Ovis aries: one gene and its partners. The protein of the gene in region 3 interacts with the protein of the main gene of each other region in a biochemical or structural test. Links are inferred from orthologs where the notes say so. Each region holds a gene or a part of one and is shown on either strand. Other genes may lie near its edges.

Region 1 (6,025 bases), on a different chromosome or scaffold from region 3:
TGATCAGGCTCTGAAAAGGCAGGAGCTCAGACAGCCCTGGGGTCCCCGGCGGCAGGGGCCATACCAGCTTCCCCGTCATTTTCCTGTGGTTGGCATCCAGTTCCTGCTCCAAGTGAAGGATCTGCTTGGTCTGATGGATCTTGTGTCCCTTGGCCCCAGGGGGGTTGCGGGGGGTGTGCCATGACTGGTGCCCCCACAAGACTGTCTGGTGGGGGGCAGAAATAGATCCAGAAGGAGATGCTGGCCTCTGCGCCCAGAAGACGTGGGCAGTGACCACAGGTGTCCATAGTAATTTCCATTCATTAAAAGTGGCAGGAATAGCACACTCAGGAAGGAGGGTCTCAGTGTTATTGATGGAGAGCCTTTCACGTGAAATCCTGGCACTGGAGGAGGAAATGGGCCCACATTATAAGACACCAAGTTAGCCACTGGGCCGGCGTATGTGGGGGGCAGTCACCCCAGTTTCACTGGGTTATGAGCAAATAGCCCTGGGGAGAGTGAGCCATGACCTCAGATGGCAGGCGCCATTTGGAATGAGTTCGATCCTCAAGTTCAAGTTTTGCTGGATCTGTTCTGCCTCCTCTGAGATTCCCTGCTCTGTTTCTTGCTCCTGAGGTGACACAGTGCAAGGTAAGCTCACTGCCCCCCCAACCCCCATCCCCAGCACTGCAGACACATTTATAAAATCCTGCACTGGGGCACCGTAGTCGTCACTGAATCAAGGGGCTCCTCCCAAACTGAGCCTCATTACAAACCAGTCCCTGCCCCCTCTCCTAAATAATCAATCCTCCGACTAAGGGAACAAAATGGAAAGAGCTGGAAGAGATGTTTTCACTTTCCCCACTTCCAACTACTATCAGCAAAAAAAAAAAAAAAACAGTTTAGTCATTGGAAACCAGTCTCTTGTGTGGGTGTCTGCAATTTAATATCCTTTCATTTCCGATTCCATTTTGCAAAGCCACATTAGTTCGACTTTAAATTTTCAAGCTCCTTTTTCTGGGGCTAGAAACTCATCTCAAATAGCCTGCTGCTGGCAGGAAGGCTAGCCTCCCGGGAACAGCAAGAGCCAGGTCAGAAACACCCTGCAAAGCTGGTCCATCGAGATAATCCACATCCTGCTGGGACCTGCCAGGGATGACAGGAGAACCCGCTCTCCACCTCGGCTCAGAAGCTGAAAAGAATATCCCCCGGCCACAGCAGCTGCATGGGATGCTCCCACGAATGCCAAACATGAAATTACTCAGCAGGAGCAGCTCATGCAGGGTCCAGACCAGCGCCCTGCCTGCAGAGAGAGCCCGCATGGCTGGCAGCCTCCCCAGGGCTGGGGGAGCTGAGTCCTGCGTGTGGCCACAGGATGTGCTATTCTGGCCAGCCTCCTTCCGGTGAGACTACCACATCCTGGACACCTTGCGAGCTGTATGATCCTACACCGGGGTGTGCCAGCCTCCCCGTGGGTTATTTAAAGCTGAGCCATCTCATCACACCAAAAGGTCAGGCTTCATCCCTCCGTGGCACTTGGGGAGCCTGGCAGGCTTGCCTGTGTGTACCCAGTCGCTTCAGCCATGGTCGACTCTTTGCGACCCTATGGACCACAGACGGCCAGGCTCCTTGGTTCATGGGACTCTCCAGACATGAATACCGGAGTGGGTTGCCATGCCCTCCTCTAAGGTGATCTTCCCGACCCAGGGATCCAAACCGCACCCCCTGTGGGAAGCCCTCTGTCCAGCTTAGGAGGCTATAATTTCACCACAGTATTAGCTATGTGGTCTCAGGCGGGTGACTTAAGCTCTCTGAATCCCTATTCCTTCCTATGTAAAATGGGAATGATAAAAGCCATTGACAGAACAGGTGAAAGTTATAAATGAAGGCAGAGCCTGGTCCAGTTTTGGAGCTTATCAAACAGAAGTTAGTATGACTATACTATGACCCATAAACACATTTTGAAAGATGAGTTGTTACAGAAATCCCATGGTAACCTAACAGAAATAGTATGCAATCGAGACCTCTCTAGAGGTCAGTTACCTACGCTGGGCACAGGGCCTGTTTCTGCTCTGATCAACAGCACAAACAAAAACAGCCTATGCTATTTCACCGTGGTCTGACTTCACAGCTCAGATCAGGTAAAAGACACAGAGAGCCGGAAAAGAAGACCTCTCTCTGCCTCTCAGTTTATGACCTTCTCCTGGTCCAGAAACAAGATTCCAATCTATCCCTATTCCTCCTTCCAGATGAAGTCTGAAAAATGACAAAGTGTGGAAAAACCAGAAAATTCAATCTCACTAGGTACTTGCCGCTTAGCAAACCAAACCTCTGTTATCAACATACCAACAAGTGGGAACTGTTGATGGTCTGATAAAAACTGGACTTGATTTCAGCCAAGATTTTGGGCTTCCCAGGGGGCACTAACGGCAAAGAACCCACCTGTCAAATGTAGGAGCTATAAGAGACACGGGTTCAATCCCTGGGTCAGGAAGATCCCCCGGAGGAGGGCATGGCAACCCACTCCAGTATTCTTGCCTGGAGAATCCCATGGACAGAGGAGCCTGGCGGGCTGCAGTCCATAGGGTCGCATAAAGTTGGATACAACTGAAGCAACTTAGCATGCACACATGAAGATTTTGCTAAACAAATCAACAGAACAAAAATGACTACAAGGAGAATATTTCAACAGAAAGCAAGCCATTTCCCAAACTGAGCTCTTTACATCTCAATTAAAAAAAAAAATTCTATGCTCAGATAGTTGTAGTTCAGAGTCACACTCTTGCAGGAGGGTCCTATGCACATCAGCATATGAAAAGCTTTGAGAAGTGCTATGAGGACAAAATCTATTAGCTTTAATTCAAGGTTTCCAAAACTTTTTTGAGTGTGAAATACTGTTTTAAAACACATCTAGTAACTTTGCAAAAGCCCAGTGTGGGAGACCTGGTTTGTTTTCAGAGTAGCTGTTTCCATGCTAATGATGGTTAACTTCAAAACCCAGTAAATTCTTTATACATGGTGAGTGCACGAAAGAACACAAATCTGTAGCAACAGTTGCCTGAGGGGTAGGAATGGAACGGAAACTCAGTTTTCACTGCTTACCTACCCATTTCTTCATAAGCCTACTGCTTTGATAAAAATTTAGAACACTATTATTAAAACTCTGACCTTATAGCCTGCTTATTCAAGAAGCTTCCGTGCGATCCCACCCTTTCCCGACCCCAGGCCACACTCAGCATCTCCCAAATGCTCTCCTTTGATCCAGACCTAACTGGCTCCGTCCCACTTGAGAAACTCACAAAATCAGGGAGTTCTGGTGTGTCTTTTGAACTCTCCGGACTTAGCCAAGCGTCAGCCAAGGCACCTGAGAACTTGGTCCTGCAGGTGGGGAACACACCTACCTGGTGGTCAATTTTGATAAGGGCAATGTCCGCCTTCTCGTCCACATCTTTGATCTTGGCCTCATAGGTGGCGCCATTCTTCAGCTCGACTTTGACCCGATGCTTGTTGGTTACCACGTGGGCGTTTGTCACAATCAGTCCATCTTCGGACACGATGAATCCAGACCCACTGGCCACCGGCACTTCCCTCTTAGAAAAAGGAAGCCTAGAACCAAAAAGAGTACCTGGTTAAAGCTGAAACATTTAAAGTCAACACTCTGACACACTGATGCGTCAGTTCTATGACAGCAACAGACACTTATCACTAGCAATTGTTACTCTGCACAATGGCTTTATTAAACTTTAAAAGATAGTATGTTAGACTGACTTTTATTCACATCCCAAACTTCCACTTAGAAAATATTCTTAGGGAATCTCTTCAGAACCGGAGGCTCTTAAAACATCTTAGAAGGGTCAAGAATGTAGATTTCAATAGGCAAACAGGAAAACATCCCAAGGGAGATGCTTATCTTCTTGTAGGACTGTATTCAGTGACACTCTAAAGTGTCTCAGAAATAGCTCTGATGTTTTGCTTATGGCAGCAGTTTTGGTGGGAGCTTCAGAGACTGGGGGAAAAAAAGGAAGGTGCTCTTTACTTGCGAAACAGTTCGATGTGAACCACGGCAGGAGCTATCTTCTCCACGACATCGGCAATAAAGTTGTATTTATGGCGCAGACTGTTGGGATCTTCCTGACCTAAGAACAGAAACAAAGGCAAGATACTTAAAGATCCTGTGCTCTGTGTTGTGGGTCAGAAGAACTAAAAAAGGAGGGTGAAGACAAGATCCCAGACCTGGGCTCACAGACAAAGATCTTTCCAGCACTTGAGGAAATTCCCACTCACATGCACGTGCGTCTGTGCTGAGTCACTTGAGTCGTGTCTGACTCTTGGCTCTTGACGATCCTATGAACTGTACCCCACCAGTCTCCTCTGTCCATGGGATTCTCCAGGCAAGAATACTGGAGTGGGTTGCCATGCCCTCCTTCAGGGGATCTTGCCAACCCAGGGATTGAACCCGTATCTCCTACGGCTCCTGCATTGCAGGTGGATTCATTACCACTGAGCCACCAGGGAAGCCCCAGATGAGGCAGCAACACCCACCAAAGATGACCTGCTTGCTTGGCTTCCCTGGTCTCAACTATTTCATCACAAAAACGTTGACCCAGAGGCATCAGCAGATACCTGGGCCCACCTCCAACAGCGGGTGGCCCAAGGGTCACCTTGACATACCATCCACCAGTGTCCCTTCCCAGACTCCCCCAGAACCACACAGCAGCCCTTCTCAGCATACCACCACCGTCGAGGGGAGGGTTGAAGCTGTTTCTGATGAGATGCCCATCAGATGTTAGAGACTGAAGAGGCTACTATGAAAAAGCACTAAGGCAAAGGCACAGATAGTGTCTTCCCCTCTGTCCCCGCAGCAGTTTTCCATCTTAATCATTCACTCCACTCCTCCCACCCCAAGACATCCCAGGCCAAAAGATGCCTTGATTCTACTGGGGGGAAAAAAAGGGAAAAATCCAATGACCAAAATTCTCTGTGTAAATATATGCACTATAATTAGGAAATCCCCATACCGTGGGCATTTACAAAGCCACTTTCAGACAAAGCTATCACAGATCCCACATACGGTTTCGAGGAAGGCAAGAAGTTAGTTGCCACCAACCCAATGCACGCACCCACAGCACCTGACTCAGAAATGAGCTACTGGAGACTCAGGGTACCGAGTCCCCATTCTGTGGGTACCTGAGTGGCAGAGGCAGTCTGAGCCTCTTACTTTGACCCCAAACCTGTGCCACCTGGTCATACCCCTAGTCTCTCTGCTTGGACGGCAGAGGGGGTCCAGGTCAGCCTGCAGCCAAGAATCCCACACCCTGCCTTCCCCTCCTCTCTGCCTCAGCCGTGAGTCTAGCTCAGGGCTGCACCCAGCACTCTGCCAGCCGCATTGCCACCCAGCCCGGGGAGAGGGGACTCACAGGGAGATTCCAGAAACCTACAAAGAAATTTGACAGAGAAATCTAAAAATTTGTAAATGGGGCTGGTTGTGTCTTTTCTTATTACATCTTGGTAGTAATTCATTTTTAGCATATGCTATGAACATATTGATCCATGATGGGTAGGAAATAACAAGGGAAGAAACCCTGATCCTTCACCACAGATGGTCTGAGAGGCCCTGGTCTGCCTCTCTGCCCATTCACACAGTGGGGTTCGCAAGAAGCCTGAAGTTTCAAAGGAAACCATTGGCCTGCAAAACTGCCGCTCACGAACAAAGGGTCTGTGTGGCCCACCCCCAACACACACACACGCACACACACACTAAAACCCACACCTACACTTACACATTCATGAATACATGCTCACACACACATATACACACACTCACTCTCATACTCATGAGCATACATACACACACACTCACATGTACACACATACACACACATATAAAGACATCCACGCACCCTCATGCACACACATATATACAAACTCCATCTGACTCTTACTGAAACACAGCTTCATATACACACACTCTCTTACATTCTCACATAGACCCAGTTACGTTCACATATACCCACATACATGCACTCCTACACTACATACACACAGA
Region 2 (6,025 bases), on a different chromosome or scaffold from region 3:
ACCTTAACTGCAAAACAATTATTAATACCTCTTGGATTATTGAAAAATATATTTTCAAAGTTATGGAGATATACTTAACTTTTATTTATATAGTACACATAGGAAATGGGTTTCTGGTGAAAAAAAATCAGTTTTACATCTTGTGATTTTCCAGCTACTTGGATTCTGGATAAAAAAAATATATTTCTTCTGATAAGCAAAATAGAAGTCAAAATTCTTGCAGTTAATGAAGCCTCCTCATTTTCTCTCAACAACAACAACAAAAAGCTAAAATTCAGGAAAATGAAATCAGTCTGACTATGGAGACTGTCTAAAAATTAGTGATACACTACTACCTGGTATGTTTAGGAGGCAGTAACAATACACACAGCTACTGTTTCTGCTCATTACTACCTAAATATTTTGTACCTTAGGCTCACCTTAAACGTTCACACTTAGTATTTTAAACCAAGACTGTTTGTTTTAAAATGAGCTCCTATATTCTCTAAACATAGCTCAGTGAGATGCAAACCTCACTAACTTTCTAAACGTGTATATTTAAATACCACATTTTTTCATTCTTTATTACTTCCTCTTCATATTTATTCCTCGCCTAGCTGAAAATTGAAATAAATTTACTTCCTCAGTAAATCTGAGGAAGCTAAATATAAAATGACCCAGTCTCAACAAGCATTAACCAAAATGGGGGAAACAGATTTTATTTATACAAACAGACCAAAATGTTTTTTCAAACTCGTGCCCCATGCTTACTTCTCAGTTTAATCAATCGTCTCTTCTAACAGGACTGTAGCCGATTGAATGGGGTACATATGCAATCTTCAATACTTTTATAGAGTTTATTTGCATAAGCCAAGTTAAGAAAAATTCATCTCAAATTACAAAGTCAGATGGCCTTTTCCTTCTGCTAGGGCTATGTACCACTATAACGGCTGACTGATGCCATAGTAAGCAAAGCATGTGCAGATTTAGTAGAAAACTATTCATGATTTATTAGATGTCAGACAGAAAACACATCTTTTAGTCTCTCCTTTCAGAATGATTTCTGCCCAACTAAATGCTTTAAGCAAAAGATCTGAGGTTACTATTCAAGGTATGGCTATTTTGGATATTTTTCCCAACAAAAGTAAAGAGCAAACCTTTTTTAGCATCTTGTTCTGTTTGTGGAAGAACTCTACTTTGATGTCACCACACACAGGCAGCGGCTGAGGGAACTCAAAGTACATGAACTTGTCTTCCCGTCGTGTGGGTCCTGAATTGGAGGAATATATCTTCACCTTTAGCTGGCAGACCACAAACTGAGGATCTGCATGGTCAAATACATACTAGTATCACTTCACAGGAAATGTTTTTAACTGTCAAAAGCTATTTTGATGATTAGTATTAGCAGCAGACACAAAGTAGTAATTTTGCATCTTTAATGCCCCAACTAAAACAAATCAATGGTTACAAAATAACAGAGATACATAGATAGAAATAAATCAGTGGAAATAAACTACAGCAAAATATAATCAATACCAGATTTTCCCTAATTTGTACCATCAATATGAGGTAATATTAAAAGGAACTTTTAAAACAGGTATTTGCTGCAGTATTTTAAAGTCTGTAAAACAGAATAAAAACCACAAAATACCAATCCTTACACATTCAGAAGAAAATATAACCTATAACAAAGTTATAGTACATTCCATAAACACAAGTTTCAATAATTATAAAAATATTAACCATATTTCATTTTACCTATAATTCATATTTTATTTTTAAAGGTATATAAAGCCACCACCACAAGAAACAGGAGGAAAGAGATTTGAAGCGTTTGCAAAGAAATGCAACAGACATCAAGTACAAATTATAGCACAATCTCCCTCTCTTTGAAACACATTCCATTTTCATTAACAAGTATTTTGACTTTGGTCCATGTCTGTTTTAAAATATATGGTAAAAAATAATAATAATAATAAAAATAAAATAAGCTCAAAATATATCATGTTTATATTAGCAATGCAATTAAAAGGCAGCTAAGTGTGAAAAGAAAGGCTTATGTGTTTTATTTTTTAAATCGACTCATAAATACATTTATGCTAATGACACTGATGACAGAATTTGGCTTCCAGTCACGGACACTAAGATCCTAGCAGTTAAGAAAGAAAGTAATTAAACTGAGGGGGGAAGAAATGGGTTTTTAAATTTTCAAAACATACCAAGATAATTACGAAATAAAAACATAAGCTTGCATAAAGTGAATGAGAAATATATAAATATATAGACATAAAGTTCTCATCACCAAAAGACATCATTCTTAAATATGGGGGGAAAAATGTATCACATTCTTTATCAATGTGACCGAAGCTCTGGACAAGGCAAAAAGCTTATTCAAGCTAAATAAATATTCCAGTACAATAAACACCTACTGGCTCATCTATACAATATTTAATGCAGTATCATCAATCACATAATAAATAAATAGTAAGCGATAAAAAGTATGAGTGTTTACTGCAATATGGATTTGAGAGACACTGATGAGAAAAAGGAACTCTAAAAAGAGAAATGTTACACTAACAACCTATCAATAATCTTCACTTCCTTGACTAAAGATTCAAAGTACAATGCGCTATTTTACAAGACTTAATTTGATACTGAAAATTTCACTGAGAAGTCCAGCTTGAAGAAGCGAACAAAGTATGATTTTAAAACTGTGATAAAAACCAAACAGGATGAAAATGCCTTGTAATCATATTCATTCAAACTCCACTAATTCAGAATCTGATCATCTTAATCTTAGGAGTTTAAAAAGCAAACTCACTGTGAAATCTGAATTAACAGATCTTAATTAACCTACGTCTAAAATGTGCACCTTCAAGAATTTCCGAGCTGTATAAATATTCTCATTAGAAGTTAGTGTTACTTAGACATTTCCTCAAAAAACTAGGCTCAAGTTTTAGTAAGCGAAAAACATTCCCTCACATCCCTAAAGAAGACAATTTTCTTTACAGTATGAATTTCACATTTTAGATAGGTAAGACCACACTTAACAGAAGTCCAACATCAGTATGGTTCTTTTGACTAAGACACGACTGATATATATATATGTCTTTGATAGGACAAACGGTGCTCTAATAAAACAGAAATGAAATAAAACTTAGAATTTTATATTATGAGAGAAAAATCAGTGATCATCTTTTATTAACTTTTTTAACCCTTTTAGATATATAGAAGATAGTAACTTTTTTTAAATTCAGAAATATTAAGACAATAATCAAAAAAGAAAAAGGTTGTTAACTCCTGGCAACTTTGCAGAAGATACTTTATTTCCACGTTTTGTTTTCTTCACTGATTCCTCTTCCTCCTCCTAAACCGAAACCATTATGGATCCTGTTTGTCTCAGCCCTCACACCGTTTCTGTCTGAGCCTTCCCACATTCTCAGCTCAGTTCAGTTGCTCAGTCGTGTCCGACTCTTTGCGACCCCATGAATCGCAGCACGCCAGGCCTCCCTGTCCATCACCAACTCCCGGAGTTCACTCAGACTCACATCCATCAAGTCAGTGATGCCATCCAGCCATCTCATCCTCTGTTGTCCCCTTCTCCTCCTGTCCCCCAGTCCCTCCCAGCATCAGAGTCTTTTCCAATGAGTCAACTCTTCACATGAGGTGGCCAAAGTACTGGAGTTCCAGCTTTTAGCATCAGTCCTTCCAAAGAACACCCAGGACTGATTCCATATTCTAGCCCTATATCAAATTTATATGAAAGGTTTAACTACCATGTCTCGTTCCTGATGCTTCCAACAGTATGACATATCTTTCATATAAGTTCAAATCCATACTTTCAAGTACCAATTGAATATGTTCATGTAAACAGCTCACCTTTACCTGATTTAAAACATATGTTTAAAACCAAAATATCAACATTCATGTCTCCAAGTCTCAGATTCCTTTTTCTTTCTTCCCTTTTCTGTGACTTATTCACCTGACCAGAGTAAAATATTTAGATATAAATGGCAAAAGAAAAACTAATCATTTGACTGCCCCAGCAAAGCATACCTGGCTTAAAGAAAGTCATGTAATTCAACTGTTTAATTTTCCACTGTTTTTCCTTCCCTCATGCAGTCACTACTTTCTACAAAACTGTACCTAACTACAGCTTACGCCTCTGCTACGATCACTGACAACACAGCATGTATCAAATCAAGTCCAACATGCCTGTTCGGAGTCTTCTAACAATCAGCCACACATTGTATTCCTATTCTGTTCTCCATCTCTATATTCTTGTCCAGCTCATTTCCTTCTGCTGTGCTTCAATTCAAGCTATTTCCTACTGCCTGTAATTTTCTTTAGTTTAAAGGCCAATCTAAATTGCATGCTTTCTCCAATGTTCAATAAAGAGCTGGACTTCCTTCACAAAAGTATTTGACAACTCCCCCCAACTTGATTTTTCTGAATATACTATTTGTAATTTACACGTATAACCACACATTTAGTTATATATTACAGCTTTACTAGACAGTATTGAATCATAGTATGTAAACAAAGAACTAGAAAATTGGTAAAGATTAAACAGATCTCAGTAGTAACTTGCAAAGTTTAAATATAATACTAAGAGGTCCAATATACACAGACACACACAACACACATGGTTTAAAGGGAGAGCACAACTGCAGAGAAGAACTGACAGACGTTTGCTAGAGAGACCAATATGGAAAAATAAAGTAGAGTAGATAAAATTACTGAACTAAATGTGTATTTCTGTAATATTTTGTACCTTGCCATTTGGCTCTTACACTGATATCTAACACTACAGGAAGAACATGAGTTTTTTTGCGTTTTTTTTTTTTCCCCTTTCCCTTCTCTGCTATAAATCTAAGTTCGTATGTCAATCACCTCTTGACAGCATAGTACCTTGTACTCAGCAGTTTTTAAAATTGTACTGAGATGACAAAAACATCAATGAGGTCTCTTTGAAGTCTTCCACGTGCTATGTTAAGGTCTTTGATAAATAAAATTAACTTGCCCTAAGAATACAGGAAAGATCTAATGAAGGTGATCACACCTGACAACATAAACAACATAAAGAAATTAACTCCCTAGGTATAAATTAATTCAGCATCACAAGGCTTTTAAGTTACATAAATACTGTAAGAAGAAAACTTTAGGCTAAAAAATAAAACCACCAACAAATTGCAAAGTATCAATGAAATACTGTTAGAGGTATTAGAAAAATAACACAGTTACATCTTACCTAGAAACTATAAAACTGTATTCTAAATAAACAAAACACAGTTCTTAAACATGAAATGCAACAGGAAATGGCAACCCACTCCAGTATTCTTGCCAGGAAAATCCCATAGACAGAGGAGCCTGGCGGGCTACAGTCCATGGCGTCACAAAGAGTCAGAAAGAACTGAGCACACACAGACACAAACATGAAAATACGACTAATCACTTCCAAGACAGAAACTAATACAAAAGACTCTGTAACAGAAAAAAGCAGCACAGTCTGTTCTTTTCCAGGGCTGTATTAACACTTCCACATGTTCTCTCGTGACCGCCTGCTCAGGGTCAAGGTTTTAAGGTTCCTATCAGTCTAGCTTAAGAACTCTGGCAAAGAATAGGAGAGAAGCAGAAAAGGACCAGGAGACCTGAGGTAGGCTTACAGAAGTCAGGATGAGAGAGAAAGGCAGACATCAATGACATGATCTTCTTTAAGCACTTTTCTAGGAAGTTTCAGATTTCAGAATATCCTCGTATTATTGATAAAGACAAAGAGGTGCGGTAGATGATGTGCCCTTGGTTACACAGCACATTAATGACAACTCTAGCACTGGAGGGAGACTCACGGGTCTCAGTCACTTAGTCATGTCCAACTCTGTGACCCCAGGGACTGACTGCAGCCTGACAGGCTCCTCTGTCTATGGGATTTGCTGGGCAAGAATACTGGAAAGACTTGCCATTTCCTCCTCCAAAGCAATCACGCTCGAGGGCACCCATGGATCAAATCCACGTCTCCTGTACTGGTAGGTGATTCTTTACTACT
Region 3 (6,025 bases):
ATGAGGCCTGCAAGTGCACAGGTAAGGTTTGGGAAGAGAATGTGAAGGGGAAATAGCATGAGGCTATAGAAGGTTAGCAGGAGCCTGATCATGAAGGATCTGGTAACCCATGTGAAGGAGTATGGACTTAACACCAAGGGCTCCAGAGCCAGTGAAAGGTTTTAACCTGGAAAAAGATACCAGAATTGCTTCAGTAAGGTTTTCCTCGCTAGCCATGGAGAAAAGGATTATTTGCTTCTTTTTTTTCTTAAAAGGCAACCTCCTGGGCATAATTCAAAACTCAAATATGGAACACAGAGATAAGAAAGATAAACTGTCTGTCCTCAAGAAGCCTAACAGATAGAAGGGGACAGAAAAAGTTCCAAAACAACGTTACAAATGCTTTAACAGAGAGAGCAGAGAAAGCTGCAAAGTGTGCTATAGGTCTTTGGGGAAACTTCAAAGAGTGACCTTTGAGCTGAGCCTTGAAGGACAAGTTCAAGAAATGGGTTTAGGGAATCAAATCGGGGGTGCAGTGGGGAATGAGATGAGCTATACAAACAGGAAAAAGGCATTCGGGGCACAGCAAACAACAAAAGTAAAGGGATGGCATTATAAACTGATTTATATTATATGGATGCACCTGACCAAAAAAGAATAGTGTATATTCCTGCCATCACCAAGACTGTGGCAACCAGCAAAAGCCAGCCTGCCAGCGGAATATGGAAAAGCAGAGTGACTTGGTTAAGAGAAAACACTGAGATGACAAGCTTTCTGCTGTGGTCCACAAGCAGAACGACTCGGAGATCATGCAGTAGAAGCTGAAAAAGGCAAATGAAAAGAAGGAACACAAGTAACTTTGTGGCTTTTTGTCCAATCTTCTTGCGCTTCGCCTGTGTGCCTGGAGCCTGTCCCGCTACACTTCCTCCCGTCATGCTTACAGCTCCCAGTACCCAGGCATTCCTTTTGCCTGGAGTCCACAGCAGGTCTCTTTCGGGGTTCCCTCCTCTCAGGTAGTTTCTCTTCCCCAGGCCAGTCCTGGGGGTGAGGGAACTACCCCTTCGAAGTGTTTTTTAAAAGTACCTTTGTAATCCCCTAAAAAATCATGAAGAGGAAAACAATTAATTTACACATTACTTTTGCATGTGATGCTACAATGAATAAAAAAGGACACTGGATCAGATGCCTACAGTCGTCAAATTTACAGAGACAGAAAGCAGAATGGTGGCTGCCAGGGGAATGGGAAAATGGAAGCTGTTCAATAGATAAAGAGTTTCAGTTTTGTAGATGAAAAGAGCTCTGGAGACTGACCGCACAACAATGTGAATGTACTTAAAACTACTGAACTGTACACTTAAAAATAGCTCAGAGGGTAAATTTTATGTGTATTTACTTTTTTTTTTTTTTGGCCACACCATGTGACTTGTGGGATCTTACCTCTGGGACCAGGGACTGAACCTGGGTCCTTGGTACTAAAAGTGTCAAGTCCTAACTATAGGACCACCAGGGAATTCCCCACAATTAAAAAAATAAACAAACACTGGACCAGAAGTCAGGAAACTGGAATTTTACTCCCAACTATCTGTGTGATCTTGAGTAACAGTTCATCAGCACCTCAGTTTTCTCTGAAGTAATGAAAATTATTATAGGATCTTTAAAGTTCCTTTGGTTCTGATTGCTTACAGTTCCATATTACAGTGCATACACTTACTTGAGATGGTGATGCTCTGGGCATTTTTTTCCAGACTGAGTTTTTTTTTGGCCACACCACATGACTTGTGGGATCTTACCTCCGGGACCAGGGATTGAACCTGGGTCCTTGGTACTAAAAGTGTGAATTACTTCACTCTAGCCTAAAGAATAACCACTGGGTTCTACATCCTTTCCTGAGCCACCTTTCCCCTTCTACTTGCCACAAAGCCCTCTTCTAGGTTGGGAGGTACCTGGCATATAGCAATAAAGGCAATAGCTACATCATTTTTCATGGTATCTGCTAATATTTTTACTGCATTATTATAAACCACTTCTAGAAGATACTTCTAGAATAAACTGATGTTATTCATGTTCCAATCAGAGCAGATCTATGTGGAAAGACAGACTGATAAGAAATGTGCACGGGTTATTTGATTTTTACATTACATTCTATCATATATATATAAGGATTAAAATAAGTATCTTACCACAGACATGAAGTAAAGGGCTTTATATCATACAATGTCATTTTTAAAAAGAAAGGGAAAAAGATACTAATTTGGTACTATCTTTAGAAGACTGGGGTATTCTCTGTTACAGAGACAATGGTCTAAAAGCTAGTATTGAATCTAGGATTTCTTAGTGAGTAACAATAATATTATATTTTTTTCTAATAAATTTTATCTGCTTTTACTTCAATTAGGCCCACCCTCTATTTTGTACAGAATTAAGATTCTTAGTGCCAGTGTTTCCTCATCAGCTTTTGGGAGGAGAAATAGACAGCAGCCCCCTCGTGAAAAGCTTGCCTGTATCAATTACCTGCCTCTCAATTTTGTGAGACTAAGGAGACATCAACTGATGAATTCTAACATTTGCCCTTGAGAACTGGCATTAACTTAGGCCCTTTTTCCCACACAACCCCAGCTTGTAATCTTGGTAATGATGAGAACCTCCCACAAACTCCTGTTGAATAGAGACACCCCCCAATGCACTCTGTCCTTTGTTCTCTTCCTACTGCAACCCACTAAATCCTTCTGCTGTAAACACCTTCAGGTATAAAAACTAACACCTTACTGTCAAACTTAATTAAGTTTGAGTTGTGGTGAAGATGCAGGGGAAAATGACATAGTCACTTGTATCACAAAGTAAATGATTTGTTTCACCATCACCAAGACAAGAGGAGCTATTATAGGTTTTAAATAAATGTGTCTTTATGGAAAAGAGTAGTCTGCTTTCTGCTGAATCTTCTACACCAACTAGAGTATAAAACTCATCAATGTTATACTGCTTTAAGACTTATTTGATTATCTGAATAATGTTTCAAAAGCATCTGAAATAACTTAAAGATCAAAAGGGTCTTGAATGTAAAAAACAAAATAAGTGAACTTTTAAGTTCATTAGTACTTGGAGAATTCTCATCTTTTGGTAGAGGTGGTCAAAAGCTTGGAGAATGATCATATACTTCTCTTCTACATTATTCAATACACTTTGTATATGAATCACAGTATTAAAATGCATTTAATTCAAGCCCTATTTAGCAATATGACCCTTTTACATATTTATATCATGTGGAAAGTTGCAAAATACTCTAAATCCAAGCAGTTTCAACTAAAAAACTTAGAGAGTCTACACACAACGATAAAAGTTAGCCTTTGTTGTTCTTTACCTAAAATAGAGTATAAACTTACACTTTTAAAAATTAATAGATATTAATTAATAGTAGATCTTACTTGGATCCTGATCAGAACAAATCAACTGTAAAAACATATTAAGATGATGAGGAAAATGAAAATCAACTGAATTTCAGATGATATTATGGAATTACTGTTAATTCTGTTAAGTGTGACAATAGTATATTATGGGCTAAATATCTTTCTCTCCAAAACTCACGTTGAAGCCCTCACACCCTATGTGATGGTGCTTAGAGGTGGGGCCTTTGAAAGGTGATTTGGTTTACATGGGGTCATGATGATGGGACTCCATGATGGGATCAATGTTCTTATAAGAAGAAGAATAGAAAGCAGAATACTATCTCTCTTGGCCAAGTGAGGACATAGAGAAGGCAGCCATCTGCCAGCCTAGAAGAGAGACTTCACCAGGAACCAATCAAATCTGCCTGAACCTTGGACTTCCCAGCCTCCAGAAGTATGAAAAACAAATGTCTGCTGTCTAAGCCACCCAGTCTACGGTACTGTTATAACAGTCTGAGCAGATTAACACACAGTATTAAGGTCATGTTAAAAAAAAAAGTCCCTAGATAGTTATTGAAGTATTTATAGGCAAGTGGTATATAGGATGTCTGGGATTTACTCTGAAAAACTACAGCAAAAAACAAAGTTGGAGGAAGAAAGGAAGTGAGATTGAAAAAGTGTTGACAATTATTGAAGCTGGCTGATGGATATCTGAGGGTTCATTATACTGTTCTCTCCATTTTTGAGTATGTTTGACATCTTTCATAATAAAAAGTTTTAAAAAACATTTATCCTAAGGGAAATATGAGAGAAAAATGCATGGGCCACATAGTCATATAAGATACCATCCATAATGAAATACTAGGTGTATCTTGCTTTTAAAACACAGGCATGCATACCTTTCTGTAATGAAGTCTGACTTGATTCACCTTGTGTATTGTCTTTCTGAGCATTCACTAGATCTGCAACCAGAACCTCAAGTGATTTGTAGTTGCTCCCAGATGTCTGAATTTTCCCCTCCATTGTTTTCTTAATGTCCTTGAAACTGAATCCCATTCGTATAGCTTCTTGCACCATAGGATTTTGGACTATTTTATCATCTGAAATGAAAATTGGTGAGGAAAAAAATCACAGACTTTAATTATTTTCATTAACACAACTCAATAGCAGAGTATCATTAAAAAGAAAAATTTAAGCAACAAGCAAAAAATCAAAACCAAATCAGCAAACCAAAGCTGCTTTGGGAAGAGGATTTAGAAATATTTAGGCACTGAAGAATCACTTTCAGAATCTTAAAATAGTTGAAAGTACAATGAGTATGTATTTGTTGTATTAGGAATTGAGATTAGGTGCTTTAAAGACTATGATAAACAGTACAAGATAAGGTAAAACAGGTACGAAAAGGGTTAAGTGCTTCAAAAATTCTGAAACTGTGGACGTCTTTACCAAATCGCCACAATTATTTTGAAAAAATCATGGGAAATAGAAGAAGTTCCAATCTGTGACCTTCAATGTATCAGTTTCCTATCTCTCAGACTTAGTTTCTGCAGTTGAGTGGGGTGGACTAGATAAAGCAAGAAACCTAATACAAAATCACATTAATGACACTCAAGGTAGGACTACAGATTGTGGTGATTGTGGTGGTGGTGGTGGTGGTGGTGTTTAGTCGCTAAGTCGTGTCCACTCTTTGTGACTCCATGGACTGCAGCCTGCCAGGCTCCTCTGTCTATGGGATTTCCCAGGCAAGAATACTGGAGTGGGTTGCCATGCCCTTCTCCAGGGGACCTTCCTGACCCAGGGATCCAACCTACATCTCCTGCATTGGCAGGTGGATTCTTTACCAATTGAGCCATCTGGGAAGAGCTTACTAGAGCTCTCGGCCTTCCAATTTCTAGGTGTAAATCAAAGGAACTACTTCTAGTTCCAGGAGGAGACAGTCTCTCTGCTTTGACTTCATGCCTTTGTTCACTCTCCTCCCTGGGCAAAGCTCTTATTCTTTTGTTAGCCTGACGAATACTAATCTTACCAGATTGTGTAGTGATGTGCTAAAAGAGACTTCTATCCTCTGACTCATCACTTCCACTCTTGGGTATTTTTTTTTCCTTTTTTCTTTTCCAAGCTGTGCAGCTTGAGGGATCTTAGTTTCCTGACCAGGGATTGAACATGCTCCCCTCCCTCCTCCATCCCCCAGCAGTGAAAGTGCCAAGTCCTAACCACTAGGCCTCCAGGAATTCCCCACTCTTCAGTATTAAAGATGAGTACATATACCCACCAAAGACATACACAAGAATATTCATAGCAGTGTTATTTATAACAGCCCCAAACTGGAAACAACTCAAGTGTCCATTATCAGGTGAATGGATAAGTAAATTGTGGTATATTCAAGTACTAAACAGCAAGGAAGAAGAATGAACTACTTCCCCAGACAACATGGATCAATCACATAGACATGATAAGTAAAACATCAACATAATAATGAACCAGAGGCAACAGAGTACATATTGTATGATTACATTTTAAGATGTTCAAATCTAATCTATGGTAATAGAAGTCAGGATATAACTTGGGGGTAAATATCGATTGTGAAGGGGCCTAAAGGAGCTTTCCAGGGTGGTAGAGATGTTCTGTATCTTGATCTGGGTGATGGTTAGATGAACCTCTCC

Evidence for each region.
Region 1: the proteins of XIAP (region 3) and HTRA1 form a complex in vitro, tested with the Homo sapiens proteins (2 studies listed by BioGRID and IntAct, with this or other methods). The link is inferred for Ovis aries from reciprocal best matches to the Homo sapiens genes XIAP and HTRA1.
Region 2: of the proteins of XIAP (region 3) and PTEN, one has a biochemical effect on the other in vitro, tested with the Homo sapiens proteins (2 studies listed by BioGRID). The link is inferred for Ovis aries from reciprocal best matches to the Homo sapiens genes XIAP and PTEN.

The regions. Positions count from the first base shown.
Region 1 is NC_056075.1:41,837,224-41,843,248, reverse strand, and holds part of HTRA1 (serine protease HTRA1), read right to left. Parts: intron 4,116-6,025; coding exon 4,016-4,115; intron 3,586-4,015; coding exon 3,381-3,585; intron 1-3,380. UniProt on the Homo sapiens protein: Serine protease with a variety of targets, including extracellular matrix proteins such as fibronectin. HTRA1-generated fibronectin fragments further induce synovial cells to up-regulate MMP1 and MMP3 production.
Region 2 is NC_056075.1:9,327,416-9,333,440, reverse strand, and holds part of PTEN (phosphatidylinositol 3,4,5-trisphosphate 3-phosphatase and dual-specificity protein phosphatase PTEN), read right to left. Parts: intron 1,304-6,025; coding exon 1,137-1,303; intron 1-1,136. UniProt on the Homo sapiens protein: Dual-specificity protein phosphatase, dephosphorylating tyrosine-, serine- and threonine-phosphorylated proteins.
Region 3 is NC_056080.1:107,875,489-107,881,513, reverse strand, and holds part of XIAP (E3 ubiquitin-protein ligase XIAP), read right to left. Parts: intron 4,463-6,025; coding exon 4,262-4,462; intron 1-4,261.